Oreochromis niloticus: one gene and its partners. The protein of the gene in region 4 interacts with the protein of the main gene of each other region in a pairwise test. Links are inferred from orthologs where the notes say so. Each region holds a gene or a part of one and is shown on either strand. Other genes may lie near its edges.

Region 1 (7,318 bases), on a different chromosome or scaffold from region 4:
GTGGTAAGAAGTTTACATCCACTCATCATGGGTGTTAATGTCATGGTAAGTTTGGACTTTTAATGACTTTCTTGGATTCCTTTTTTTTCTCCCCTCTATCCCCACAAAGTGTCAAATGTATGCATACATGCTTAAATAATATACATACACTCCCTTAAATATTTTAATAAGTGGCATTGAAGGTTTCACAATGTCTTTTAACATGAAAGGTCAAAGCCTATTAACTTATCATTAGTGATCATGACTGACTGCAAGTGGTAGTTTCTCTTTGCCAGCATAAAAAGGATTTGGCTTACAGCACTCACTGGATTGTAGGGCTGCACGATTAATCGTTAGAAAATCGCGATCTCGATTCATACTTATGTGCGATCTCATTTCCAAATGACAACGATTTAAAAAAAAAAAAAAAAAAAAAAAAAAAAAAAGGACGACGATTGTACCGCATTTTGATCCAGGACGTAATCTGCATGAAAACAAGCGCTCACCCTTCCTGCTCAACAAATGACATGGGCGGAGCCTTATACCACGTGATACAGAAGCTGTGCAGTGATGCTCAAATTGGCAGGGAAAAAACAACGGAGAACACGTCAGGGATGACGAGAAAGTAACAGGAGAAAATTTGTGCCGGTCAACCACCCAAACATCAATAACGGGAACCTTATACAGCGCTTCCCTATACACGTCGAACTCCCGCAGGCTCAAAGAAATTACGGAGGCTATTACTTATCACCTGACCAAAGATATATCAACACTGTGCAAAACGAGGGATTTAGGAAAATGATCAACACCCTAGACAAACGCTACACAGTGCCGTCCCACAACTATTTTTCTATTGTTGCACTACCTGCTCTATACACGCGGTGTCGAGCAACGGTGGAGACAGAATTTCAAGCAGTACAACATTTTGCGGCAACCACAAAATGTGAGGCATTTATTGTTTTTATTTTTATTTATTGTTTTTATGTTCAGTTTCAACTGTTACGAAGTTGATGTGCAGTTAATAAGTGCAATAAATATTTATATTGGAAAAGAAAATCGTGAGAGAATCGTGATCTCAATTCTAGGCAAAAAAAAAATCGTGATTCTCATTTTATGCAAAATCGTGCAGCCCTACTGGATTGAACTGGGAAAGCCCAAGGAACTTACTGAAGATCCACAGTAAGAAGGAGAATTCCAGTTTTACACAAACTGGGAAGTTGTATTGGAGAAATTTTATTCAAATGTGTCACCCAGGAACAACTGAGGAACCACCAACGCTCGATCCCGATGATGAACTGGAAACTGCTGGAACATCAGCATCACGGTCCACAGTGAAGCTAGTTTTACATTGCCATAGACTGAGAGGGTGCTGATCAAGCCTCTGCTCCAAAATCAACACTTTCAAGCTCAACTGAAATATGCTGCTTCCCACATGGACAAGTCAAATGGCTTCTGGAGAAAGGTTTTATGGTCTAACGAGACAAAAAATTGGTGCTATTTGGCCACAACCACAAGATGTATGTTTGGAGGAGTAAAGGTGAGGTTGTTAAACCTAAGAACAAGCATGGTGGTGGTAGCATCCTGCTCTCTGGCTGTTTTCGTGCAAGCGCTACCTGTACATTGCACAAAGTTGATGGAATAATGAAAGTGGAGGACTACTTCCAAATTCTTCAACTTCCCCTCAAATCAACAGCTAAACATTTGGAAGTTGGACACAATTAGATGTTCCAAATGGATAATGATCCTGAGCAAACATTAAAACTTTGTTTTTTTAAATGGGGGGGGGGGGGGGTCCAAGCTTCTGGAATGGCCTTCCCAAGGCCCTGACCACAACCCTATTGAAAATTAAAAACCAGGTCAGTGCTAGGAAACCAACCAATTTAAATATACTCTTACAATTCTGCAAAGTAGAGTCCTCAAATATCCAGCCAAAAATCTGACAGTAGCTTGTTGATGGCTACCAAATGAATCTGGTTGAGGTGCAACTTGCTAAAGAACATTTAACCAAATATTAGTGGAGGTGTATGCGATATTTAAGCCTGTATATATACACTTTTGATGCCATGTGGATTAGAGAAAATCCAAAATAAATTTAAACCTGTTCTTGCTTTCTTTTAACGTCATTAAAGATGTACGCTGTACAGTAATCCCACCCTAGAGAAAGAACAGATCAAAGAAATCATTAAAAGCCCCAAATTTCCATGACCACAACTGTAAATGTTCATGAACTTTACAAAAGTACAGCTTTGTAGTTGCTGAAGAAGTTGGAAGTTTTAACTTCAGCAGTGCTTTAAAGGTGCTTGTTCTACAGTGAGTAAATATGCAGAGTATATGAAGATGGGCTGACCTCCTATTCTTATGAATTTAAATGCTCATTAAAGAAAAACGGTAATGAAAAGAAGCACCACCCTGCAGTTCTACTTGCTCAAGAAGAGATGAAATCATTTTCACGTATCAGAATAAGTTCAGGTGCAAACTCGAGACCAGTGATAAATGGCTGGGAAAAGGAGAAAAAACGAGCATCAGCGGGAGATTCCTGTGTTGCAATTCAATGCAAAAATATTTTCAATATTTCCTCACAGACACTAAAATGCGGCAGACTCAAAAATCCGCCTGACTTTTATAAACAAGTGAGCGCAGAAACGTGACAGACACCCGACATTTCATTTGTCGTTCCTGAAACAGATAGTGTGACAACAGTGGCATTCACGGCCTCAACCAGCCTTGAACAGGCACCCTCTACAAGAATAAACAAGCTAATAATGATGTAGAGCACAGACTGGCGCACTGGAGCTGCGCTCACTGTTCACCGGCCCCTGAGTCTGACACAGAGCTCGAGCAGCTGAACCTCACTGCTGTTCAACAGCCTGTAGTACTCACGAATATACAAAACCCACAGCGATACAGTCGATTAATAGTATCATACTCACGCTTGCCTCCTGGCTATTAATCTATGCATGGGAGTCGCCATGTTGCAGGTTACTTTTTCTTCTTTGTTGGCGTTAAATCAGCGCGTATTTCCGGTCCAATCAACTCCGTTATCGCCTCCTATGGGTAAGGATGGTCTACTGCATGTATTTATAATCATTAAAATTTAATTAACAGCAGCCCTGACGTTTTGGCTAGTGGTTTTTTTTTTTTTTTTTTTTTTTTTTTTTTTTTTTTTTTTTTTTAATAATACTGTGCAAAACTCTTGAGCAACTCCTCATCATTCTTGATATTTTGCTTCTAAGAAACAGGACATTATTGTAAGTGGTCTTGAGCAATAGTTCTGCATGCTTCCTGAATTCTGTCAAAGTTTTCCTTTGGACATTCACTGTTATTTTCCCTGTTTCAGTCCAGTCTTTGTATGTAACCATTTCCTGAGGAATGTTTTGTTTTTGTTTAATACACTTAACTCTGACCTATTCAAGCATAAAAAAGCCATCTAAGGGATAAATGAGTATGGTGCCCACACAGATCAGACAATTAAACACACAATTTCAAATTGTATATTGTTAAATTGTAATCGACAATTACAAAAAAAGCTCTCTTCTGCAGATGAGAAGTATCTCAAAGTCATCCTTAAGAAACAGGACAAAATCCAGTAAAGACCTGACACTGGCCCTTCTCGTAATCCATCTACTGTTTGACGAAATGGTCTCAGTGAGTGTCAAGAAGCCATTCTTAAGAATGGGAAACAGCCTGAGGTATGCTAAATTAGAAAAAAAAAAGTGGTCTGAAAATCAGAGTAATTTGAAATTTATGAGTTGAATCGTCATCAGTTTGTGCAGAAGAGGTCAGGAGAGAGGTACAACTGTGAGTGTCTGCAGAATCTGTAAAACAAAACGCAGACATGAATCTCCACCATCATGTAAATCTCATGGTGTTGGAGATCTTGTTAAAACTGATAAATTATGACTGCAGAAAAGCACAGTCAGAGTTTGATCCTCCACGCAATATAGTCTGGAAAGCATGACAGTGATACCAAACGCACTGCCAATACAGCAAAAGCATTATCCAAATATGTGTACAAACTCACAAACTCAGTTTTTTCTTGTATTTTCATTTGGTTTGAACATCTTTCAATATCTTGGTGCATCGATTTCCTATGTTTCAAACAAAATATAAATAAATGAGACTTTAGTGCAGTACTGTGATACATGTGATTCATTTATACTACATTAAAGGAAAAAATGTGCCTCACATAATAATGTTACGTTTACAATCAGCATATAATGGGATATAAACATTCTGTTTATCATAGTTCTCCCCAGCTTCTTATTTCCACTTTCTGTGGAAACAGTTACTGAGGTTAAGCATTCAGTTATCTGTCACCAACACAGTGCACACTTTCAGCAGTCAAGTGTCATCACACCCACCCACATTTACGATTTGTCAGAGCTGCGTTTACATGTCATCAGCTCTCTTTTCTGTTTCATAGATTCTTAAATAAATGACATTTTGTTTTTGCAAACCAAACCAAAAAAAGTGTTATGTCAGCTACTATTTTATACTAATTATTTATAATGATTGGTAATTTTATATCATGAAATTTACTAAGTATTAAAGGAGAACGTATTTAAAAACGAATCTTTTTCAGTAACAACAACTTTTAAAATGGCTATGCTTTAGTTATTTATAATTAATTTGTTTAATGTTATTATATTTTCTTATTTTCCCGACGACTTCGTTCTGAGCTGGGCCATTTACATTTTTTATTTCTAATGAAATAAAAACAAAAAAACAAAAGGGGACAAAAAATGACTTCATCACTTTTTGCATCACAGTCTATTTTTGTTTCCCCACCCTGATTCGATCCCAGAAATCATCAAGCTAGTCATTTGTTGATTTCAGTTACTGTCACGGTAAACCTTAAACTTAGAGGTTATTTTTTTTATTAAATAAGAAGAAATTTATGGAGTTTTCTCCCTACACCTCGACTGTTGGAGAACAGTCTTTCACGTGGATATGGAAAAGTCCAGAGAGCTCTAGAACCATGTAAATCTCGCGATGTCTGCGGGCGAGACGTTAGTAAAGCAGACCTTGCCGCTGCAGCCTGCCAGCACACATCAGAGACACCGGCAACAATCAGCGGTGTGGATTATGAGTAGAAGTATTTAAGACAGAGCAGCTTAACAACTTCACTTGACTGGAGCATCTTTTTTATGTTTTAAAATCTAGTTACAGGTTTATTTTCTTTACAGAAATCATACTGTATACAAAGCTAAACCTAGGAGACACATATCGCTGAAGATGTCAGTGGTGGGATTTGACTTGGGCTTCCAAAGCTGCTATGTAGCTGTAGCCCGAGCTGGAGGAATCGAGACAATCGCCAATGAGTACAGCGACAGATGTACACCGTAAGTACCAAGTAAAATCTTATTATAGTTTGTGAAGGATAGCTACAGAGGACAGGTTTTCATTTATAAGTGTTGTCTCACCGGCATCGCTGTAATACACGTGAACGCAGCTTCTCTGCTTTCAGCGATCATTTGTGCTCATTGCTGGGAAATTGAACTGCTTTTCCGTGTAAGTTAGTGACACATTTCTCAGCCTGTCTATGGTGAACATGGAACCATCTAGAAATTAACTCATAAGGCGCACACCACCTTCAAAGACCGATTATGAAGCTCCGGCGAGCTAAGCAAGTTAGCTGAGCTCATAGTTTTATTAACGGTAATGACAGTCTCGAGAATTGGTGTGGCTTCGCCGGTTAAAACACGACCGGGCGGTGTTTGCCACCTGTCGTTTTTAAGTAGTGGTACTTGTCTTCAAGGCGTAAGCTCCGACCAACCGGTGTGCCCCGTGTGGCAAATTGTACGCCTTGCGTTATGCTCTGTACGATGACGACAGCGGCCAATCTCTTGTTGGAATATTCTAGCAAATTTTTATGTCTTTTTGCCTTTTTAAACGGTGTAAGGTTATATACTACTTATTATATGAAAAACATATTGTTATCAGAGAGGTTGTTTAATATTGTTTGAGTTCTGCTTATTTGGGTTCATGGCGCATTTTGTAATTCCATCAGTTAGATTTCAGTCATCCTGACTGATTTTTAGTCTTTACAGTATTTCCTCTTTTGTAAGAGTTTAACGTTAATATAAAGCAGACAACAGTTACTGAATGTTATACACTGCATAAGTACAGTCACTGGTTTTGAATGATTAACTGGTATATTTATAGATGTATCATTAAAATTTAGAATTTCCTCCCAAAGAGTAATAATCAAATGAAATAAGACCAGTTATTATATTGTAATTTATTTATAACGTTTGTATTAAACAGGGAAAGAAAAAGATAACATTAATGCCCAGTTTATGCTTAGTTGTGCACCTACTACTAAGTCAGAAAAATTTCATATATATAAAATGGGTTTTACGTCATGGTTATATGAAATATGTATACATCATTAAGTTGCTGTCTTTATTGTGAATCAACCTGGACTTTTTAAAAATTATTTAGTTTTATTCAATTTTACAAGGCAAACGTGTGTCAGAGAAGTAGATCATGTATAAGATAATTTGGTGAATAGAAAGATTATACATCAGTTTCTTGGTGTGTGTTTATATATTACACGACAAATTCACATTCAGAATTTAAACACAGAATCTCATGTTGAATATTCGTAACACACTTGGTCTGTAAAGGCTTATACTTACTGAGTAAAAAGAAAACAAATACTTTCCTGGTAACTTGCACAATGTTTTGTCTGTTGCCCACATAAATATGTTGCATTAAATTTTGAAAAATTATGAATATTGGACATTTTTTGACAAATATTGAACTGTTTTTGTGAACTTGCTCTCTACTACATCATAAACATCACAAGCATCACTGTATAAAGTCCTTTGAGTGCTCAAATAGAATAGAAAAGCACTTTATAACAACCAGTCCATTTACCATACAACTTCCTGTCCTGCTCTTGATTGAAGATCAGCATCCGCTGAGTGACTCTCCTCAGAGACGTGTATTGTTGACAAATCTTAGACATCACCACACTCCACTTGTGTGTTCATAGCAACGCTTGCTGTGTGTCATCAGCATCTGTGTTTGATAGAGATGGTGATGAGAGGCAAGCCCTGTGTGATTTAAGTGGACTTACCACACCACTTCAGCCTGTGTTTACATAGTACAGACAACGCAAAACTTAAACAAGCCAGTCTGGAGCCTCAGTCCAGGTTTCAACAAGGATTATTTAGAAAAGTGCTGAGATCAACTAGTTAAAAATTGTGACCAGTGTAGATTGGCCACTGAACTATCATGTGAAGCTCTGCTAGTTGTGTCATTAATGTAGCTTAACATTTTGACTTGTGTGTGTCCAGGTCTTTTGTATCGTTTGGACCCCGAAATCGTTCGA
Region 2 (8,002 bases), on a different chromosome or scaffold from region 4:
AACAACTCAGTTTATCTATGAAGGTAAACACACTTTCATTTCAGAAAAGCAGGCGAATAAGCTTCAAAGGTAATAAATATATACCGAGTCTGACTTGTGCAAATAGTGCAAGTAAATACTCAGGTACTATAAATACAAGGATGACTGCAGTGGAGTACAAGTATGTTACAACACTGTCATAGCTCTATCTTAATACATCAACTCATATAAGATGAACATGTGCAAACAAGTAGATTGGGCCATCAGAAAAATATTTAGGTTACCTCTTTCTTGACTTTCTCTCTTTGCTCTTCTTCCGTTTTCGTCTTCTTTTTCTATCATCATCGCTGTCATGGGAACCTACCACGCAAAAGCAGCACCTTTAATCTCATAACTAAGAGGCCTCATCAAAAATAAATAAATAAAGATAAAGAGCTAATAAAATAACTGCTGTCCAATTGCAAAAATCCACACTTTGGATTTTACTCAAGCTCCAGCTTGTATTGATGTTGACTGGATGCTGAATTATGTAAAACTGCTATATTTATTGCAAATTGCCTTGCAGTAAATGAATGCATATTTTAAAAGCTTACAGTAATCAAGGGCAGGTTAATCAAATCTGACCTTTTTGATGCTGCCCGCTTCGCTTCTCGCTGCGTTGAACCTGAGATTCGTCATCTTCGCTCTCCTCGCTGCTGGTGCTGCTCACATCCAGAACAATGTCCTTATGAGGGTCCACTTTAACAAAATTTCGGCACTCAAATGTTAAATGGCCCGCTGAAAGATGAAAGTCAGAAAGAGCGGTGAGGACACTTTTTATTAACATCTCTGAACCTCAACCTTGAAACTCATAAGAGGAAATGTGAATAAGTCAAAAAATAAATAAATAACATAATTACAATTTACTTCCAAAATAAATCTGGCTCAAAGGCTGGGTAAGAGGCACCATAAAACAGACTCCATCCCAACTGTATAAATCTATAAATCTTTTTTCACTGAGTAAATATGGGAGCATATCAAGCATAACAGTATAACATCCACACATCTCTGAAGCTTGTAGTAAATAATGGTTAGTTTTACTTACGATAGCCACATTTCTTGCACCCAGCTCTGATGTTGTCCTTATTAGGTCCTGTAAGATTGTTAAGAGCTTTTTAATGATTTACATGCAAGTATGCATTCACATTCACCAACTACTTTACTATGTAAACCTGTAATTAAATGCATATGCCTTTACAAGATGAACATACTGGTTGAGCTCTATATAAAGTGCTGAAAGGGTGATAAAGAATGAGCCCCTACTCTGACTTTTAAGCACCCAAAACATACAGTAGGTATACACTCAAAGCTGCTTTATTAAGTACACCTTGCTAGTGCAGGGCTGGACTGCGTTGTGCCTTCAGACCCGTCTTAATTCTTTATGGCAAAGCTTCAACAAGGTGCTGCAAACATTCCTCAGAGGTTTTGATCCAGATTGACATGATAGCTTCACACAGTTACTGCAGACTTGTCGGCTGAACATTTGTGCCGTGAATCTCCTAAGGGTGTCCTACTGGATTGAGATCAGCTGACTATGGAGGCCATTTGAAAACTCATTTTCATCTTCAAGAAACTAGCTTGACATTATTTGAGAGTTATGGCGCATTCTAGTGCTGGAAGCAGCTATCAGGAGGAGGGCACACTTTGGACATCAAGGGGTGGATGGTTAAAAATGATATTCAGGTAGGCTGTTGGATTACAAAGGGGCCCAAAGTGTACCAAAGAAATATCACCCACACCATGACACTACCATAAGCAGTCTGCACTGCTGATACAGGGCAGTATGGATCCATGTTTTCAAGTTGATTATGCCAAATTTTGATCCTACCATCTGACAGCTGCAGTGACATCAGACCAGGCAACATTTTTTCAAATCAGCTACTGTCCAGTTTTCACCTGTGTGGTTTTCTGCTGCTGTGGGCTCTTCTGTGTCAGGGTTCAAAATGTACGTTCACATGTGCGTTCAGAGATGCTCTCCTGCATACCTTGATTGAATAGCTGTTCCTTTCCCATCAGCTCCAGATCATCTGGCCATTCTCCTCTAACCTCTGGCATTAATAAGGCATTTTACACAGAACTGCCACTCACTGGATATGATCTCTTCTTCATTCCATTCAAAACCCCATAGATTGTTTAGTCTGAGTTTACCGACTTTAAATACTTTGACCAGCTCATCGGACACTAACAACCACAGCAGACTCAAAATCACCTTTCCCCTCATTCTGATATTCGGTTTGAATTTAAGCAGCTCACCTTAACCATGTCGACCTGACTAAATGCACCAGCTTATTGCTACGTGATTAGCTGATTGATTATTTACTTTAAAAAGCAACAAGGGTAACAGATGTACCTGATAAAGTGACTAATTGAGTGTATATGTTGTGTGATTTATTGCTATAATTATCATTATCATTATTATTATTATTTTACTCTCTCTACTCAACCAAAAAGGTGATAAGCCTAATGCTACTTACAAGAGTTAATCCTAACAAAAAGTACTAAAATCGAATCCATGACTGTTTATATGGAGTATCTGGACATTTACAAGTACTCTGCTTTACGCCAATTTGTACATCACCCGTCATGTAACCACGTGTGCTAAACGTAGCCAAGTTTCTCGCTGGGTTAGTCATTGCACAGACTTCACATCAAAGGGTCTGTGTTTTTAAAAATACATTAAGCTAGCGTAAACGTAAGCCCCACTTTGTGTTACCAATGCATTAGTTACCCTGTCAGCTCTTACCATTCCAGCGAAACCTACATGAATAATACAATAGAAACTGCGAAGTTAAGTAAGTTACACATTTGAAATATAATTCCCACCTGGTACAGCCATCACTGTGTCCAAAATAAAGCCCCCAAACAGCAAAACTTATTGTTGTTATAGCGCGAATCAGCCAACAGCGTCCTCACACCAAATAACGTCGACAGGAAACACTTGTTCTAGAAACTACCGCGTTCCCCCTGCTTTTGTTCGCGTTTTTTTCCCCTACTGACGGCAGGAAAACCAAACTAGTGGCGCATTATCGCCGCCCGATGGAAAGGAGTTGGCGCAGCAGACTGTGTGACATATTTTCACAAGGATTTCTTGTGAAAAAAACAAAACATAGAAAAGTGAATAATCTAAATATAATGTTCTATTGTCTCCAATGTTTACACTTATATAAACTATGAAGAATCTGCCATCGTCAGACCCTGGTGACGCTATAAGAAAAAAACCCTGAAATATTTGTACCATGCATGACTGCTTTGCCAGTAAAGTCAGCTGTGGTTTTTGTAAGGGGTTAATTGCAGGCAGCTAGAGTCGGACTGGCAGATGGAAAATGTTGACAGATGCATGGCCCCCAGACATGCTCTCATCATCATGTCTGTGGCTGTGACACAAATGCGCGGACACACATACACGAAAACAATCTCAGTCCTGATCTTTTGATGATGCCACATGCTTTAGCGTGGGCTAGTTTTAATGATGTGATTTACCTTCTTTAATATCTAAATGAGGTTCTTTCCAACTACACATATGATGCCTCACAGCTCTGAAGTTCAGCACGGTCAAAGAACTTTTGCACCTCATTTTTATTATTATTAGTTTTTTTTATTATGGTCTTGCAGGAAATAAAAAAAAAAACACACACACACACACACACATGCACACGTGGCTCCAGAGAAAATATAGACAAAAGCAAGATATTTAAAGCAAATAAAATAACTAAAATAAAACTATAAATGCTAAAAATACTATGAAATGAGCCCCCAAACTGCCAAGGTGTTACAGTACAACTAGCAGAAATTATGATCCATGAACTGCATGACCCAAGTCAAATCAGCTTAATCATAAACTAAAGGAAATAAAACAGATTTTAGAGACTCCTAAAAACAACTTCGTATTATGTAATTTTCAACCTCAAATTAGTTACTATTTAGCATTTCTGACCACCTGGATTTAGCTTCTATAGGTTTCCAACAACAACACAAATGAAAACCACAGATGAAGAGAGCCAATAAAACAAAAGGCAGTGAAGGATTTCCAAAATGAATACAGGAAAGCTGGAAATGAATTTGCCCCATTTAACTTCACGCTATTTTCAGTTGGGTTGTGGCTAAAAATTCCCCGGTCCTTTAAATGTTGATTACATGTCAGATTGAATTAGCAAATACATACATAGAATACATAGAAACATCTTCTTTGGTATGTGTGTGTGTGTGTGTGTGTGTGTGTGTGTGTTGGGGGGGGATTTTGAAGTATACCATTAACAAATAAGCATTAAATGCATACAGTAGGCAATATTGAGACCCGAATATGTACATTAACCTGTTCGAAAGACTTTTAAATCCCTTTATCACCAAATTCAACAAGTACTGAGGCAAGATGAGAAGGGCGAGCTGAAAAACACAATATACTGTAGGTGTGTAATACTGCAGTTCTCCTACTAAAACTGGAAAATGTCCTGTAGTGATAAAACGGGAATTCTTTTTGGGGAAACTAGATTACACTTGTGGTCAAAAGTTTACATACAATCACCATGGGGATGAATGTGTTTTCTCTATTACACATAGGATCGAAAGTATACACGCAGGGGTAAAATATGCATACACCCCTACTATTATTTGATTTAATATCTCTTAGCAAGTTACATTTGACTAGACATTTTCGATAGCCATCAACAAGCTTGTCTGCGTAGGTTCTCAGTCATCCAGTTCATGGTACTCTTAGGAGATTGAAAAAAGAAGGCAACTGGACTTCTTTAGGTTTTGTGAAGACATTTCACCTCTCATCCAAGAGTCTTCTTTGTTCTAAAACAAAAGATGTAGAGTACCAGGTATTTAACTCTAGTGGGGTTTGTCCTCTTTGGAGGTGGTCCTGAGGGTCGTTGACCCTCTATTGATCATGTGAGTCATCATATGGGTACTTGTGTGAAAAAAGGTGTGGGTCGTTACCACAACCAGGGATCGCTTCCCAGGTGCTTCAATTCATACCACGTCTCAGATGACCTCAATAGGTCACATGATAATTTGGGTGAACCTCTCAAAGTGGTTTCACCATTAACCCCTACTGATGGTGACAACCCACCCATTTTTTCACACATTGGCTCACATGGGGTCAATGACTCTCAGGACCATCTCTAAAGGGGACGAACCCCACAAGGGGATAACTACCCAGGACTCTGCCTTTTGTTTTAGAATTGGAGAAGACCATTGAATCAGAAGTGAAGCATATTCTCTAAAAGGCCCTAAAGGCCCTAACTAAAAGGCCCCAAAGAATATCCACAAGCTTCTTTCATAATTCTGACTGGATATTTGACCACTTTTCCTGGAAGAATTGGTAGAGTTCATTTAAATTGATTGTTTTCCTGGTAGAGACCCAACGTTTAAGTGTTGTTTTCAATAGGGTTGAGGTTGAGCCGTTCCAGAGGCTTAATGTTAATCTGCTTGACAGTTGGTACAGTGATCTTAGGTTTGAAAGCCTTGCCTTTACTCGTCCAAACATACCTCCCATCATTGTGGACTCACACAGTCATATAACTTGTACCAACTAACAAGAAATTAGCTGGTCAAGATAAGATAAATGTCAAGTTAAAAAACATCATAGAACCTCCAACATCACTTATTATAAGATTTAGGTGAGTCTATATATAGTTTAGCCTGTATGCTGTATGTATACTGTAGATTAGAAAGATGCCAAAATAAATTCAAATTTGTGAATTTCTGCACATAATTTTTATTCACCCTGGAAAAAGAACAGTTCAAAGAATTAATTAAAAGCCCAAAATTACCAAGCCTGTGATGACTGTAGGTAAACTTCTGATCACAGATGTAAGGAAGGCCCTGTTCAGGTATTCAAAAGTCATACTCCTTTATTTGTGATGATGAGAGATGAGAGATGAGAGATGAGATAGCCTTTATTTGTCAGTTGCAAGTCTTTTGCCCACAACCGAGATGACAGACCTTGCCGACCGTACATACAATACAAACATCACATTGGGGAGACAGGTCAGGCCAGGTAGCGAGGAAAAAAACATCGAAATATGTAACACAAAAGGATAATACAGGAATGCACAGATATCAACACACCATAACACAATAAACACAGACAAGCAACATGGGAAAGTGTTCCAGTGTGTACATCTGATCTGGGACCGCTGCAATCTTCGACTGCGCCTCCAACTGACCCGATGTCCACATCAGAGGGGAGGTAAGCGTTGGAGGTGGCGTTGGGTAGGGAGGGTGATGCGTCAGTGAGTGCTGAGACAGTGTCCTTCGCCCTGCCAGGCTAAGTAAACAGTCTTCCAGCCAACCCAGGTGGCCTTGTATGGAATGTGAAGGAACAGACTCAACACAGTCGTTATCAGGAAGTTTTTGTTCAGCTCCAGCCTTGAGCCCACAGCTGGCGCCGAAGGGGTAGCCGCATTATGATGGTGATTTTTCTTTTTGCAAACAACTCATGAGAATTTCAACCTGTTTTTAACACTCCGACACTGGTCTCTCAATCTCCCGTTGGATAGCTGCGAGTTTCTCCATGATGTTATTAGCCATTGATTCCGTGATCTTGTCACTCTTTTGCTCACAGAGCAGATTCTGAGACCTCACGACCGCAGCCAACTGGGAAAAATACATCCATTCAAAGGTATTTTTACCATCTTGCCAAATGGTTATTCTGAGAGTGTGGGCAAGCATGAAGTTTTTAATGAGAAACTGAAAGGATTGAACAGTTTATGTATTTAGACTAAATAGGAAAATAGGAAATCTTATATTTTATTCTCCAAAAGTTGAATCTGTTCATCTGGACGTAGCGTTTTGTGGGAGAAACGTTTCGTCACTCATCCAAGTGACTTCTTCAGTCTCAGCTGACTGCAGGTTTCCCCAACCCTTATAAACAGTCCATTTGCATAATGACTGAAACCAGCCCACTGAAGGAACAATGGGCTGTGAGGTCAGTTCCTTAATCATAATTATGCAAATTCCCATGACCATTGATCAACAATCACTGACCAAAACCCACTGATCAAAGACCACTGATCAATGGCCATGAGTACCATTCACAGAGAGTTGGGGAATGGCTGCAATCACAGCATTGTAAGATGGCGAAAGATGTACCCTTAGGCCCCCTCCTCGATTCAGAGATGGTCTTTCCCTTTTCACGTAAATGGCCTCCTTGACTCCGCGCTCAAACCAGCGTTCTTCCCTGTCCAGGATGTGTACATCCTCATCATTGAAAGAGTGTCCACTGGCCTGTAGGTGTAAATAGACTGCAGAGTCCTGGCCTTTTTGCCCATTGTTCCTTCAGTGGGCTGGTTTCAGTCATTATGCAAATGTACTGTTTATAAGGTTTGGGGAAACCTGCAGTCAGCTGAGACTGAAGAAGTCACTTGGATGAGTGACGAAACGTTTCTCCCACAAAACGCTACGTCCAGATGAACAGATTCAACTTTTGGAGATTTACTTTCCTGGATGATTGAGAATGCATCAAGACTTATATTTTATTCTGAGCTTTTTGCATTTTTAATGTTTTTGGCTGCCTTGCTTGGCCAACTCCCCCCTTGTGAAAAAGATCTGATCTTAATAGGAGTTCCTGGCTAAATAAGGGTTCTTATAAAAGGGAGGAAACCAAATTATACATCACAACTCGCTCAAGACTGATTCACGAGAACACAAACAATGGCTGACCATCACAGATAATTGTTCTAAATGAAGGAGGAATAGCTTGCAATCGGCTGGGGAAAGTGGAAGGAGTGACACCATCTTGTGGTCAAACAGAAATAACACAAAGCTCTTTATTTCTCAGGCCAGTTTTCATTTTGGTTGACTCACTTTTCCCCTCATGTTATTGGTATAGATGCTAAAAAAAAAATAAAAATAAAAAGGACAATCATGGCTTATGAGAGCTGTGCCTTTAAAAATGTTTGAGACATGTTAAAAAATGATGTGAAAAAATGGTCCTAACAGCAGTAGAATATGCACTCTAAGGATATTCTTTATCTGAGCT
Region 3 (7,811 bases), on a different chromosome or scaffold from region 4:
AAGTCTAAGTATAACCCAAAGGTACTCACGGAGTGTGTTCATGAGCTGGTTGTTTCCCTGCTGCCGGTCAGCTCCTCCGTTGGCCATGGGGTGGCGGCTGGGTGACGTCTGGCTGAGGGGTCGGGGGGTCTCAAGCTCACCGTCGCTGCTGCTGCTGTCATCGCCGCTCCCTGAGGCGCTGCCCGAGTCTGAGGAGCTGCTGCTGCCGCTGCTGCTCATCTGCTCTATCACCTCCACCTCTGCTCGCAGCTCTGTTAAGAACAGCAGGGAATTGCCACAGTTAACACAAAGACATTCAGCATTTATTGAAAAATAGTTTATAACAAACTGTAATGTCCTAATATTTATTTAGAACTATGTGATACTTAGGTGTGTTTAAGGAAAAAACTTTATTAAGGGATTAACATCACAAATAACTCTTCTATTATGAGCTGTGGGCGTGTATCGCCTTCCTTACCTCTCTTGATGTCATCGAGCTGAGGCTCTGGGGAGGGGTTGTCCTTAGACGGGGAAGGAGAGGTTTTGATCCCAGCCCCGGGTTTAGTGGGGGCCCTAAACTGAGAGGTGGGCTGGCTGGACCGAAGTGACTGCTGCTCAATCCGGGCCTGGATCTTACTGCTGCCCTCTGCCCTGTAAAACACACACAACAGATGTGATTTCACCTGGATATATTTAAGAGTAACATAGAAGCCAGCCTGAACTTCCCACTTCAATAACCTTAATTTTGTAATCACTGATATCTCACCTAGTTTTCTTGACCTGGATGCTGCTGCTCAGTTTCTCCAGTACAAAGTCCCCGGTGTCGTGGTTAATGATGAGCACACAGTCCTTCTGGTATGGCCGCTTGTTTCCTTTGAATACTGTCATGGGAGGGGTAGAGCCCTGAAAGAAAAAAAAGAAAATGTATGGACTAAATATGGACAGTCTTGGCTAATTTTGCCAGACCCTATTACATTAAAACAGTGCAAGAAGGTATAATTATACAGTGCTGTGCAAAAGTCTTGAGCCATCCCTTATTCCTGGTGTGACTGACTCACTCACTGACTTCAGTTTGAATTGCTTTGATTGTACAAACTCTGTTTTTACCTTAGATACTGGATTTCTAAATGTGCAAACATAAATAGATATGTAGTATCTAAGGTAAAAACAGACTTTGTACAATCAAACAAGCTTGAAAATCCGTATTTGGTATGACCACTGTTATTCCTCAACATAGCCGGAACTCTCTTAAGTAAGTTTTCTTGTAATTTCTTCGAGTAGCCTCCAGGAATAGTTCTCCATGCTTCCTGAAGGACATTCAAAGCTCTTTTTTGGATGTTGGCTGCCTTTTGTTTTGTTCTCTGTCAAAATAATCTTACACTGCTTCAATAACGTTGAGGTCCAGGTCAATCCACAACTTGTTCTTAAGGACACAACTTTCACATTTTGTTCATCTGATGTAGATTGTATTTTTTGTTTTTTTTAGGCCTACCACTTATTCTTTTATCTTCTAAATGTTCACGTTTCCACTAATTTTCTAAGGATTCCCTGCAAACCATGCTGAGATATGCCATGTATACACCTAATAGCTCTTTGGGAATCACCTGATTGGTGCAAATGTTATGGTATTTTAAGCCAGGCAATCTGTTATAAATTGACTGGCATAAAATACTAGCAATGCTAGAAACAAATTCCCTCTGGAAATGGTATGGTATGTCATCCTTGTTGGACAACATCTCCCACCCCATGCATGAGACTGTGACAGCACTGAGCAGCTCCTTCAGTGGCAGGCTGCGGCACCCACGGTGTGGGACGGAGAGATTTCGCAGGTCTTTCCTCCCCACTGCTGTCAGACTCCACAATAAAGACTTTAACTGATCAAACACACACATCCACAAATGTGCAATAACACTAATGTGCAATAATCTTTTCTGGCATCGTTGTATTTTTACTCAGTTGTATATAGCATTTGTACTCTATTTTTATCTCATTGTATATTTTATTCTATTTTATTCTACTGTATATAGTATTTTATTTTATTCTATTCTGTACAGTTGTGTACTGTATTTATTCTTATTTTATTTTATTCTAATTTTTGCTTCATAACTTTTGCACTGTCCACTTCCTGCTGTGACAAAACAAATTTCCCACGTGTGGGACTAATAAAGGTTATCTTATCTTATCTTATCTTATGATACAATGAATGATACAAGGACTGGACTGAAAGGAGCAAAAAATGCCAGTGTTTAAAAAACCCCCCCAAAAAACAAGCAAAAGAACACTCAAAAAGACCTTGACGAAACCTGGAAAAGTATTGCTCAAACCAACTTAAAAAAACTACAAGAAAGTCTCACAGCTTGGAAGCAAAAGGAAATGAAAAGGTGTTTATAAACTTTTGCACAGTATAGAATTAGAACAGATATTCATCTAACATGCAAGTGCCACACTTCCTGGTAGTACCAATTCAGTCAGTATTTAAGGGTAAAGAATTTGATGCTAAAAGAATGGAAGTTGTTTTATTATTTGCTTAATTTACAGAAAGACGTGCACATCATGCAGTCTTACTGGAATATGAGGTAGTGTTATGGTAACTTCATCTCCTTTCCCAACTTGAAGCTCTCCTTCACAGCTTGTGTCAATCGATGCTGGTTTGAAGTCATCTGAAAAGGAGATACAACAGATAATTTAATCAGGTGCTTTAGGAAACACTGTATGTAGGTAATTATAATTACATAAACATTTTATTATGTCTCTTAAACAAATATCGAAAGATTATGAGCCGATAAACGCAGATTTAAAACCTGAGAATGGGGAGTAAAAAGATAAAATTCATTGTGTATAATGCTGCCACACCATTTCCAACAAATAATTACTTAATTGTTTTCTCCATGTAATTACCCATACACAGACTGTGTAAGACACAGCCTCTCCGTCCATGTGAGAAAGATAGTCTGACACAACAGTAATCTAACAGTGCGCTTTGTATGGTGCCAAAGTTTTATTTAACACATCGCGCAGTCTGTCACACTTACATCTGATGGTGTGAAAGGAAGACTTTGGCCTCTTCTCAAAGCTTTCTCCGAGCTTCAAAACATGCTCCTCTTTGTCCAGCAGCGGATTCGTGCTCCCGTTCATGGCTCCGTTGGTTTAATAGTTACTAAAACTCGCATTTAGGTCAAATCCCACGAAGAGCCGAGAGCAATCTGGCAAGTTGAGCAGGATCAAAATAAGATGCCAACTACAACACAAAGTTAGCTTGCTGTGGCTAACAGTTAGCAAAACATCACGTGGCCACGCCTCTTCCGCTTTTGGTCCGGCTCTCAAATATCGCCGAAAGCGGGCTGTGTTAGCAACTTCACCTGTTTTAGTAAAGTACAAGATTTTTCAAATAAAAAACAACGCATTTCACTACATATTAAATCATGAAAATATTTCCAGTGCTTTAATTTACTCAGTAACGAGTAATTATAGAAAACGCGCCACTCGATGAGAAACGGAATTAAGTAGTAAAGACTACACGACATAATTTAGTTAACGGACAACATGGATGCATTAAATGTGGAAAAAGTACGGCTACGCTCGAATTTGTTTTAAAATAAAACTCTTAATCAGTTAATTGGGTTTAGCATGTTTGAAAAGTCTATTTTTCCATAAACGAGTATAAACAGAAGGTGGAGACACTTTGGGGCAGTTTATCATGGCATTGTCAGAAAGTGGGATTTTCAGTGGTGATATTAACTGTACGGATCCTGGAAAAGAAGAGGAGTCGAAAGACCAAGCGAAAACCCCCACTGCCAGGGTTTTAACTCTGGAGGAGCAGGAAAGACTGAACGGTGAGCGGGCTCTGGTGTCTGACTTTAAACAGATGAAGCTGGAGAAAGAAGCGCAGAAAAACTGGGACTTGTTTTACAAAAGAAACACAACGAATTTCTTCAAGGATAGACACTGGACCACCAGGGAATTTGAAGAGCTCAAGGCATGCCGAGAGGTGAGGAAATATTTACAACAGATGACACCAGAGGAGGCACTTTTACAGGATATTAAATGTAACTGTTTACCGTGTCTGTTTTGAAATATTTGAGTTGTATGACTGACATGCATGTGTTATTATGTGAAATAGATAAAAAATGACTGATTTTAATGTGTACAATGGACACCCTGCTAAACTCCACTGCCAATTCAAAGAAAAATTGAGGCTTCACAGGACATGACTTTAGATTATCAGCTGTGTAGTTTCTCATGTTACTCAATTACCACCTAATAAAGTCAATGGTTTTCTGTAAAGCTGATATTTAGAGGTCAGTTAAAACACAAAGCTTGCAACTTTCAAAAGTAATTTAGCATAAAGGATATTGTAAAAGTTTTTAAGTGAGTTGTTGGAGTTTCACTATTAAAAAATTATTGAGCTGAGTTGAGAGACATGAGTAGACTAATACCTTGTGTTTGTGTCTATTTTTAATTTGTCTTTGTCCCATCTGGCTTGCAGTTTGAGTCCCAGAAGTTGGTGCTGCTGGAGGCAGGCTGTGGTGTTGGAAACTGCATCTTCCCTCTGCTCGAGGATGACCTCAACATCTTTGTTTATGCCTGTGACTTCTCACCACGAGCTGTTGAATTTGTCAGAGTAAGCTCTATTAGTGCAGCTGTAATACTACTTTGTACTGGCTGAATCCATTGAATGCAATCTCATTATTTTGCTACTGGTTACTGAAGGATCCCTAAAATATGCTTTAGATACATGGGATATATAGTTAGCTGCTGTAGTGGACCAGCTGACAGCATTTTGATTTTATGCTCCCTTGTTAGAGAAAAATATGAGGGACTTCAGAATTTCTTCTCTTGGAATCAACATAAAGAGAAAAAGAAAAATACTTAATTTTGTAAATAAAATTCTTTCCTTTGTTTTCTTTGTGTTGACAGCAAAACCCTCTGTACTGCCCCGACCGCTGTTGTGCCTTCCAGTGTGATTTAACTAAAGATGACCTGATGGAAAATGTGCCGGAAAGCAGCGTGGATGTCATCACACTCATCTTCGTCCTGTCTGCTGTCCATCCTGACAAAATGAAGCTGGTTTTGGAGAACATTAGCAGGGTGAGAGCAGACATGGCGTGTGGATAGATTTAGTATAAGTCTGTACTCTCAACAGCTTGTAAAGTTTAAATGAAATGTTATGATAGGTGGGAGAGTTCTCTCTTACTGGAACTACACAAGCACTTCCTTTCTGTACTCATAATGTGGATAAAAATAAATGTTTCATTGAAAGAAGCCTTTAATCTGATGATGTATTTGGTGGTTAATTTCTAGATATGCTTTTAATGTGCCACATTAGTCAGATTGAAATAGTTTAATGTGATTTGCATGTGATCTTAAGGTGCTGAAGCCTGGAGGATTTGTCCTGTTCAGGGACTACGGACTTTATGACCATGCCATGCTCCGATTTAAATCCGGAAATAAGCTGGGAGAGAACTTCTATGTACGCCAAGATGGAACTAGGTCCTACTTTTTCTCTAAAGGTCAGTAGTTTATTTTCAGGAAGTTATTTTTTGTTGATACTAACTTAGCTTAGTTGTATAATTAGATAGATATATATTACCGGTTTAGAAATGTGTGAATTGAGGCTTCACACCTTTTATTTCAGAATATCAGCACGTTCATATGCAAGAACATTGACCTCTCCTTCCTAGGTCACACTTTGTTGAGATAACTTTTTCAAGTAGAGAAGGCTCACTTTATGCATTTCATCTTTTTATGACACATCAGAAAATCCCTAAACCTTGTTTTTTTTTTTTTTTATAACTGCCCTCAGAGTTCCTGGCTGAGCTGTTTGAGAAGACGGGCTTCAAGTGCGTTGCTAATGACTATGTTCTTAGAGAGACTGTCAACAAGAAGGAGGGACTTTGTGTACCCAGAGTCTTCCTGCAGAGCAAATTTATGAAACCAGAGAGCTGAACTTTGCGTTTGTCGCCTCACAGATCTACAGAGGTTTGGCAAAACATACCACTGAGATGTCAGATAAAAACTGGACAGTAAAAGATGAGGGAAATATTTGCCAAAACTTTACCAGAATGGAAATTGGGCCATCACAGGTAACTTAGCAGTATGTACACCTGCTATCTGCTGACCAAACCACCTGAGGAAGGCTCCCAGAAAAGCTCTGCTGCCAACATCTAAAGGGATTCGAATGGATTTTTTTCAGGGGAAAGAAAAGGCGTTAAACATGGTTGTTAAAGCGTGAACAGTTTGAAGTCACATTTTTTTGTAAAAACTTTCACAGTTTGTGATACAGTTCTGAGAAACACTTTAAATATAAACCAGTATTTTGATTGCTAATAGAATTATGACTTTCTTGCTCTTCATTCCCCTAATATTGAGTTCAAGTCATCATTTAAAAATGTATTTTTTTAATAAATGTATTTTAATATTTCCCACATATACTGTGAGAGGACATGGTAATCTGTGTTTTATAATTTCCCACTTTTAAACAATTGTTGAGGATGAAAAAGCAAAGTCTCTCATTCTGTTTATGGTTCACATTTTACGGGCCACGAATCCCTGTGGTGGATACACGGATATCCTGACTTTTAAGAATAAACATACTAAATCTTGACCCTTTTTAAAAAAAAAACCTATCTTAATATCCTTCAGACGATTAAATGAAAATGTCTTCCCTGTGTTCATTCATGTTCATTGTATAGAAACAGAGAAGAAACCTTTAAGGCTACTAGGATGCCAAACTAAGACATCCGCATTGTCCAAAACATAAATACAACCTAGATAATTAAATTATCTATTAATTATAAATTATTATTCTGTAATGTTTTTTCCACTTGTAGATTAAGACATTTCAGTCTATATGAAAAATTAAATGAGCAAGTGTGCGAACAACCTTTGAATCTAAATATTTATTGTGAAGACGTTTTATTTCCTCCTTTAATTTCTGAGTGGCTGTCAATTCAAAGACTAAAAGTAACACGGGCCACTAAAAATGCATAAATTAAAAATCTATTTAATGGAGGAAACACAATAAAGAAAAATCCATGACAGAAAAATTTTATTTTATTTTGTGCTCCTTGTACTCATTTGGAGGACTCCATATTAAACAATTTAGTTGTTAAAAATGAACATTGATCGCACTGGAAAAGTTTTTTTGAAGCATAAACACCTGTAAGCCGTATGAGCACAAAGCTATCAAGATTCTCAACTGTGACACACAAAGGCCTAAAAGAGAACTGCCCTTACTACATTACCGTAAGCTGCTCCCCAAGATCCATATGTTTGCTGTTGTTTCAATTTAACAACAAATGTGAGAGCTTTTATATGTGAATGCAGTTTAGTTACGTTTTTCATTCATGTACATTTGCCTTCATTGTACAGTACGTTCTGTTACAAAAGACCACTGTGGTGAATCTGTTTAGGGCCTGTCAAGCAACTTGCAACATGCGCTAAATGTGGCTTCCTGTTCAGCAGCTGTGTCGCCCACTGGCTTTCCTAGTTTAGAACTCACTAAAGGTTTGTTGTGCCTCTCAACACAGAAATGTAATTTGGTGTTTGACACAGTGCAATTTATTGGCATCACAGTGTTTCATGTCGCAGATATGAAATTACCATTTTCAGATGAGGACCAAAATATAAAACCCCAAACAGATGGCACCCATGGGTGAAACGTAAGATTTTGGGCGTCTTTAGAAATCACAATGAGTATCAAAAGTTCATACATCCCTGTGAAATTTAATGTAGTCAAATAAAATAATCCAAAATGACAATGATTTGAGTGAATGGGATGTGGGTAAAGTTTAAAATATTAAATATGAATATTAAAACATAATGCAATCTTG
Region 4 (7,731 bases):
ACTGGTAGTGAGGTTCAGCAAAACTAGGAGTAAGGTGTCAGCTGATAAACATAAACTACTTGTGCATTTTTCAATTCCATCATAACATTCATGCAGTTTGTGTTTTTTTCCTGGTTAGAGCCACGGGGAGCTAATGGAGAAGGGCAAGAGAGCTACAGGCTTGAGACTCCCAGTCAAGGAGTAAAAGTTTCCCTCCTGACTGTACGAATGTGCAGAAGATAATTATTAAAAAAAGGTTTAATTCAATCCAGTTCAATGACAGAAACCACTAGTGTCATCTGCAAACACTGCTGACCCATATGAGAGTCTGAAGGACACAAATCCACTCCTGTGGTGCTTCTACACCTGTAAAATGCACAAACTGGCCCAATAATTAAAAAATATTCCATGGAGAATTAGCAACATATAGCATAAGTTCCTGTGAATCGTTAAGTCTCAATCAGGGTATATTTGAAAAAAGGCAAAGTTTCAGAGTCTTGCTCCAGGGCTGGGGTGTCTGGCATTAGATGGGTTATTAGTTAGTAACGCAGGTTATGGTTAACATTAAAGTGAACAGTTAATTTCAGCCAAGTTTCTTTCCAACTCAGTGGCTAAAAAGTATGAGTAATGAGTAATACAAAATTTCATATTTATAATGTCATATTTTATGTCTAAATTCAAGCATGATCCAAACCACTGTTCAACAAAAATATTGGTATCCAAATGAAAATACTTTTTTCTCTGCCTCAGCTACCCAGTATTTTAAGGCAAGGGGAATCCTTTCACAGCAAAAGAAGAGGGCAAGTGTGGAGTGGAGCACACCTGCAGTAAATCAAAGAAGTCTTTAGGTGATCTTCAGGATGAACGACTGATAACAAAGAAAAAAATATGTTTCTCTTTGGTAGAAACAACATAATATATATATATAGAAAGCCTAAATCTGTCAGTTGCTTTTGAGCCCTCACAAAGACCTGGTATGCTTGAATAGATGAGTATTTAAAACTACCAGAATAAGAATAAATAGAACCAGAATAAGTGCTCCCCAGAATAAATAGAACATTAAAATGAATACATTTAATTTTACTCGCTTTGCACTTCCTAAAAAGTGCAAAAAAAACCATTTTCTTGTCTTCTTTGTTGTCTATAGCTAGAAACAAACTTCAAAAAACGAATCCAAAACTGCAGTCATCCTGCCAGGTAATATCCCCCAAAATTTGTTGGCAAAACCAGTACTGTCATTTTTCAAGAATACATTATGTAACAATTATTCATGGTGTGCTTTCAAAATCTGTTGCCCAACTATTAAAAATCAGCAAGTTCATGTGTGTGGAACCAACGTACCTGACATAGAGTACCTGCCCTCCTTCCACTCTCCTCTGCCAGCCGATGGGGACGTGTATTGCAGTGGTGTGGACCCCATCCTTGTCCCCACTGACAGTATCACTGCCTCCCATCATTTTGTAGCCTGCCAGCACCTTAAAAAGCAGGAAGTGTTAACACATCTTGTCTTTTAACATAAGGAGGGGGGTAACATGAAGGTATCATGTAGTAACAGTTCAGCCTGTCAAGAGTGGACCCAGGGACTCTGCTTCTAAGGAAAGTTTAACCCTTGTGGTATCCCCTACTGCACAACTTTACTTAAGCACACGCGAAAAAACATCCAATGCTAAAAGGGGGGAAACAGTTGTTTAGTCTCAGCATCTATTTTGGGTTTCAAGCCATCTATCCTGCCCCCTCATCCTGCTATCTCTACATTATCCGGGTTGTCAAGGGTATCTATACTAAAGCCTCCATGAACCAGATGCTTACTCATCCCCACCACTTTCATCTGGGACTTTTTGGAGTCTAACTGGAAAAATAGTTCAATTTGTCATGCTTATGCTACAATAAATTTTGCTCTTCTCTTCTGAAAGAGCTTTCCTCATTTAACTGTATATTGTGCAAGTATCAGGGAAGTTCACTAAGCCTGAGTGAGTCACTGAAAAAAGTAAACACAAAAGATGGGTGAATGTTTCTGCAGTAAAGATCTTGCGATCATTAATGTTTTATTTCAACCAACCTGCATGCTTAATGTTGAGGTCACATTCAGCTTATTACACAACATCAAATATCGATGTCGGATATCAAACATTACAAAATGTACCCTATGCGTGGTGATGAAATCAGCCAAGATCTGAACTAAAGTAAGCAGCATGAACAAGGGAAGCACTGCAAATTAATTCCACTCTACTAATTCAGCATCATTTCCTTTACTTTTTAGCTATCATCTGTGTGTCAAAAAGTTCTGGGAAAGTACCCTGCAGTTTCTTTTCTTATGTCTGTGCTGAAGATAATACAAGCCCCTAGAGAATGAATGTGATGTAAACATGTTGAAAAGGGGGAGTGGCCACAGCAAAAGAAAGGTTTTTGGTTTATTATCAATGTAAAAGTAATACCAAGACAAACAAAAAGAAAGTTGCATACCTTGTCATCTTTGGGAAGCCAGGATCTGTTTTGGCTAGAGTATCCACTGTCCAGTGTACATGCTGGTGGGTTAGAAGCACACTGCCAGTAAAACCTGACTTGCCCAAACACCTCGACTTTCTTCAGCTATGAGGCAGATCCCTCACTTAAAGGATGACTCCTGCAGATTTATTAGTTCAGTTCACATCAGAGTAGGGATGTGGGTGAAGGTGGAGAGCCTGCAAAGAAAGGTGGAGGTGGATTATGTAATCTGGCAGCGACCCCCGCGGTAAAGATATCGTGCAATAAACCTATTCTGTAACTGATATGATCTAAGCGTGTTTGAAAAACGACTACATCAGATGTATTAGTCTTCTCCAGAAGAACTTCAGAGTAAGCTCTAGCTGCTTTGAAGTAGAAGGGTGTGTTTGCCTAGGCCCGTAGTTTACTCAGTGTTTAGCGACAGTATAAGCAGCTGCAACAACCAACTCCGAAGCGAACACCCTGGCACATGAAAGAGCAATTAATATAGCTCTGAACTGATGTATCCTTTTTTTTCTTAATTTTGTATCATAAATTGCGTAAAGTATGAAAAAACATCCCACAAAGTACACGGCTCATACACGGCAGCTAGCGTCCAGGCTAACAGCTAGGCTAGCAAGCTACCCTACTTTGTACTGTGTTGTCGTGACAGCTGTCAGGCGCACAAAACACTCCAATACAAAACTCTTGCCCGTTAGCTGCAGTAACAACATACGACCCACGCACAATACCGCGTTGTGAAAAAACCTCTTATAAATCGGATACCTACATCACACTTTACTTATTGATATCCGTTAGCTAACGTCAATAGTAGCAGGTCCTACCAACCTTTTCTCTGCGTCAGGCTCTGTGTTGGCGAAGTTTTGGAGTCTTGGCTTTTCTGGCTCGCGGGAGAATCAAGAGTTAGCTGGCTAGCAAACGGGCTAGCCAGATAATGTTTTGAAAACGGCTGATACTTTAATAAATGAGCGCAAAATAAGTCATTGTGTAATCCAATTCCCGCAGCGGTGTGCTCATTCAGCTCTCAGCATTCATACAACGTCTGCCAGTCCGACTTAAAAACAAAGGGCAATAACGCTTCATTTTACTGCGCCTGGGATCTCGGAGCTAACGCTGCAACCAGCTAGGCTAGCTAGCCAGTCAGCTAACTGACTGAAATTTACTTGATTGTGGAGTGTCCCGACAAGACTGAAGGATGTCCCGCTCCCGGTCTGCAGCTATCCGGCCGTTGTTTTGCTTTCTCTTCTGCTAAACCGTGGAGCTTTCAAATATATTCCGACAACCATAACGGCCCATGTAATCCCCAGTTCACAGTTGCCCACTGTTTTTTTTTTCTCACAAATTCCGAGCAAAAAATAATGGAGTTTTTACTGTTGAGCATGCGCATTAGACGCTTAAGGAATATTGTACCCGACATGCAACGGGACCTTTGTAGTGTTCCAGACAGACCTGAATGAAGCTGTGTTCAGCTCCTTGACAGAGGACATGATAATGACAGAATAATAACATGTGTTCACTTGACAATAGTGGATTCACTTCCGCCTGTCTACACTGCATTTGTGGCCCATATCACGAAATTTAAATGAAAAGTTAAACATACTCTATCCATTAAGGCATGTACATATATATATATATATATATATATATATATATATATATATATATACATATATATCTGTAGTAAAACATAGTAAGGGGCATATCATAACTGTATAGCACAACGATAATAATAATTAATATGCACAGAGATACAGCATGATATGGAATGCTTGGATGCTTAGCAGTGTTTCTGTTGTCTGTGAACAAGTGGGACAAGGGGAAAGAGATGTATTGAAGACAGAAGGAGAAAATGTATCTGATTTCCCCCCCGTCATCGGTGCTCAGTCCAAGGTCCTCAGCTGTTGCAAAGTGTCAGCTTGACATAGGACCGCTAAGCCTGGCATGCACACAAGCACACACCCAAAATCATAGATACACAACTCCAGATATACACTCAAACTACAACCTAAAGTCACTTTGGAAAATATCTAAAGAAGACAGAGGGACCAGACTTTGTGACAGCCCAGCATCCCGAGGGCCTGAAGTGAAGCTGCTTTGTAACATACTGACCATACAGGGCTCTGGTCATTGCCAGCAGGTGAAAACCCATTCACTGAGATTTTGCCAGCACACCGGATTTATGATTTCTTCAGTGCGATCTGTACAAATTTAGACAAAAGGTAGGTTATTGCTGTAGTTTAAAGAATGTTTTTAATGGAAAAAAATGTTTGTGCATGACCTGTGTTATAATCACTCAGTTTATTTGAATTAATTTGAGTGAAGTTCCATTAGTTTTAAAACACGAGCTAAACAACCCCAACTCTGAGATTATCTCTGTCAGTTTACAAACTATGATTTTTTTTTTTATTTCCATAACATTTTCTTAATTTTTAGTTGCTTTTTTCCTGGCTGACAGAGGCAGCCAAATTTAGCTGTGATGAGATTAAATTTCACAACCCTAGAATAGTATAGAAGACAAGCACATTCTAACACTGTGTGGATATGCAAGTGCATGTAGCGTTCACACAGACACAGAAATATATTTTCTATTGTATTACCATATTTGATATTTTTTTAAATACATTTTTAATAAAAAACCAAATGCAGGCTTATTTTCTAATATTTCTTTAAACTTCCCTCTAAGAAGTTCAGGAATATGTATTTGATTTTTCACCTACTTTGAAAACAATTTGACATAATAGTGCATATGGGCTAAGTCATTCAAAGTTTTGAGTAAACAAATAATTAGTAGAACATTCTCTCATGATATCACTTTTATCAAACTGTCTCATCTTTCGGGAAAAAAACCCACCTAACTGTTCACTTTCTAGGTGGGGGTGAACTGACGCTGTCTACATCAAACCATGGATCCGTAAGTATAATTCTTAAAATCAATATACTTGCCTCTTGATACTCATTTTATTGGCTTGGTTGTAGCACTTCTTTACCATTTAAGTCTTAATTCCATTTCCTGTTTACTAAATACTGAAGTAGCCCATGCCAGAAAAATATTCTGGAGCATCATCTGTGTCTAAAGCAGCTCTATGTCCACTTGAAAGAATGTGCGGCAAGGATATCCTTAAACAAATTGAGTCGTATATTAAATTGCCACGATTCTACTATTTTAAGGTGGAATGGGAGTTTTACTTTACTTGTGTTTTTTTAAAGTTTGTTTATAGGCAAAACCTTTTTCCTCGCTTTATATGCTTACATGTTCCTTTAGAATAAAAAGTGATCATAATGTTGAGAATAAATAAAATAACTATCTATAGTCGCAGCAGTTAACCTCACTCATGGCTGTGTGTGTGTGTGTGTGTGTGTGTGTGTGTGTGTGTGTGTTAGGGACGATGACAAAAACTCTGTGGATATCCATGACAACCCCCCAGCTCCTGACAATGTAGTGAGGGAGGACGGAGACACTGTGAGTGACAGCACCATGTCAACCCCCCGCCATTAGCAGTGCCATTCTTGGGCTGTTTAAAATAGCCACCAACTGGGACAGGGTTGCAGTGCAGCATCAGCTGGAAACAATATGAGCTTAAGTGTCCCTGTCTTATACAACCTTATGGAAAAAATGAGCACTGCTGGCTGATCTGGATTAGTCATCGAAATGTTATTCACTAGGTCCTGAAAAGCTAAATGTAAGACAGAGATCAGGTACCAGCTGATAAACAAACAAGGCAAGACACTAATGTAATACTTCATAATACTGTGTGACATTGACACTGGCAGCTCAGTATGTTTAACATTTAAAAACTTTAATAACAACTTATATAACAACTCTATCACATGTTTGTTGTTGGGGGTTTTTGTCTGAGATATGTCCCTTGGGTCTGCAGGTCTATTTCATATATGAGGAGGAAGTGGAGGTGGAGGAGAAGGAACCAGAATCTCCTTCAGAGCCCATCGTCCGGGTCAATGACAAACCCCACAAATTCAAGGACCACTACTGCAAGAAGCCCAAGTTTTGTGACGTCTGCGCTCGCATGATAGTCTGTAAGTGCTGTTTTTTATATTAATGTTATAAATAATCAATCATCATATAATCCCATAGGTATTTGTTCTAAAGATTGAGACTGTTAATTTTGGTTCCTCATCTTTCAGTGAACAACAAATTTTGCCTGAGATGCAAAAACTGTAAGACCAACATCCACCACTCATGTCAGTCGTATGTCGAGTTTCAGAGGTGTTTTGGCAAAATTGTGAGTTTGCTGGTGTGCACTGGATATGAAACTATATCTGCAGTTTCCTTTTACTGCCCTCGAGAGTGAGAGAGATATATTTTTTAAAACTTTTATTAAAAACTTTTTTTCTTCTTTCCTGTAGCCACCTGGATTCAGAAGGGCCTACAGCTCCCCCCTGTACAGCAGTGACCAACCAGACCCAAGTGAGTCCACTGAATCTGGCATGGCAATATATCTCTTGTGTATCTAAATTTCTTAACCTTAAATTCAAGGCTGCTACCGCAAAGGAAACTAAGCACGGTGTCTGCATTTCCTCTTTAGCAACACTTACGATCATTATATTTGACAAGGTGCATTTAAATATTTTTAAACTTAAACATGCTTGAAATGATTAATTTAATGACATTTTTAAAGAACAGTGTAAAGCAGACGCTCAAGCAACATTCTGACCTTTGTGTTGGGAAATAATATTTCTTAGAAAAACAGCAGAATGTATCAATGTCACTATAACACTGATCCTTTTATCCCAGTGCTTCATACATTTAGTTAACACTAAAATAAGAAACCAAGTAAAGTGAAACAGCAAACTCTTTTTTGTTTATTTTCCCTCCGTAATTCACATTCACTTACCTTCACTTTGTTATTTCCCCTGGTCCTTCGTGCAGCAACTGCAGTGGCTCCAACTGCTAAATATTAGTGATTTAATAATAAGAAGAATTTATCACAAAGGTCATGGTAATTTTAGCATTTTAATTCTTTGATTTGTTCTTGTTCCAGGGGGAAATGATTGTACAGCATACACCCTTAGTGACTTGAAAAAAACAATAATTGGGTGCACAAGTTTATAATATATAATCTATACAGGGGTCAAAAGTATACATGTGGTCTCAAATATTTACATACAGCCCCACTAAAAATTGGTTCAGTGTCTCTCAGCAAGTTGCACCGCAACCAGACAAATTTGGTAGCCATCAACGAGCTTCTGACCATTCATCTTGGCAGAATTAGCAGAATTAGTATAAATTTGTTGGCTTCCTGCTATCCA

What was found.
Region 1: the proteins of stac3 (region 4) and zcchc10 interact in binary tests that used the Homo sapiens proteins (3 or more experiments, as listed by UniProt). The two-hybrid records come from large-scale screens. The link is inferred for Oreochromis niloticus from reciprocal best matches to the Homo sapiens genes STAC3 and ZCCHC10.
Region 2: the proteins of stac3 (region 4) and srek1ip1 interact in binary tests that used the Homo sapiens proteins (3 or more experiments, as listed by UniProt). The two-hybrid records come from large-scale screens. The link is inferred for Oreochromis niloticus from reciprocal best matches to the Homo sapiens genes STAC3 and SREK1IP1.
Region 3: the proteins of stac3 (region 4) and eaf1 interact in binary tests that used the Homo sapiens proteins (3 or more experiments, as listed by UniProt). The two-hybrid records come from large-scale screens. The link is inferred for Oreochromis niloticus from reciprocal best matches to the Homo sapiens genes STAC3 and EAF1.

The regions. Positions count from the first base shown.
Region 1 is NC_031975.2:20,408,312-20,415,629, reverse strand, and holds the start of zcchc10 (zinc finger CCHC domain-containing protein 10), read right to left. Parts: upstream 3,045-7,318; 5' UTR 2,951-3,044; coding exon 2,910-2,950; intron 1-2,909. Other genes in the region: hspa4a (heat shock 70 kDa protein 4a), read left to right, coding at 5,215-5,321, 7,284-7,318.
Region 2 is NC_031980.2:34,248,759-34,256,760, reverse strand, and holds the start of srek1ip1 (protein SREK1IP1), read right to left. Parts: upstream 3,001-8,002; 5' UTR 2,855-3,000; coding exon 2,842-2,854; intron 1,112-2,841; coding exon 1,064-1,111; intron 757-1,063; coding exon 604-756; intron 340-603; coding exon 264-339; intron 1-263. UniProt on the Homo sapiens protein: Possible splicing regulator involved in the control of cellular survival.
Region 3 is NC_031976.2:30,462,742-30,470,552, reverse strand, and holds the start of eaf1 (ELL-associated factor 1), read right to left. Parts: upstream 3,255-7,811; 5' UTR 3,115-3,254; coding exon 3,012-3,114; intron 2,640-3,011; coding exon 2,545-2,639; intron 883-2,544; coding exon 746-882; intron 631-745; coding exon 458-630; intron 252-457; coding exon 30-251; intron 1-29. Other genes in the region: tRNA N(3)-cytidine methyltransferase METTL6, read left to right, coding at 3,677-3,967, 4,466-4,600, 4,897-5,067, 5,348-5,489, 5,783-5,925. UniProt on the Homo sapiens protein: Acts as a transcriptional transactivator of ELL and ELL2 elongation activities.
Region 4 is NC_031984.2:24,445,030-24,452,760, forward strand, and holds the start of stac3 (SH3 and cysteine-rich domain-containing protein 3), read left to right. Parts: upstream 1-4,369; 5' UTR 4,370-4,682; intron 4,683-5,333; 5' UTR 5,334-5,366; coding exon 5,367-5,374; intron 5,375-5,844; coding exon 5,845-5,923; intron 5,924-6,341; coding exon 6,342-6,498; intron 6,499-6,606; coding exon 6,607-6,704; intron 6,705-6,828; coding exon 6,829-6,889; intron 6,890-7,731. Other genes in the region: mbd6 (methyl-CpG-binding domain protein 5), read right to left, coding at 1,321-1,436. UniProt on the Homo sapiens protein: Required for normal excitation-contraction coupling in skeletal muscle and for normal muscle contraction in response to membrane depolarization. Required for normal Ca(2+) release from the sarcplasmic reticulum, which ultimately leads to muscle contraction.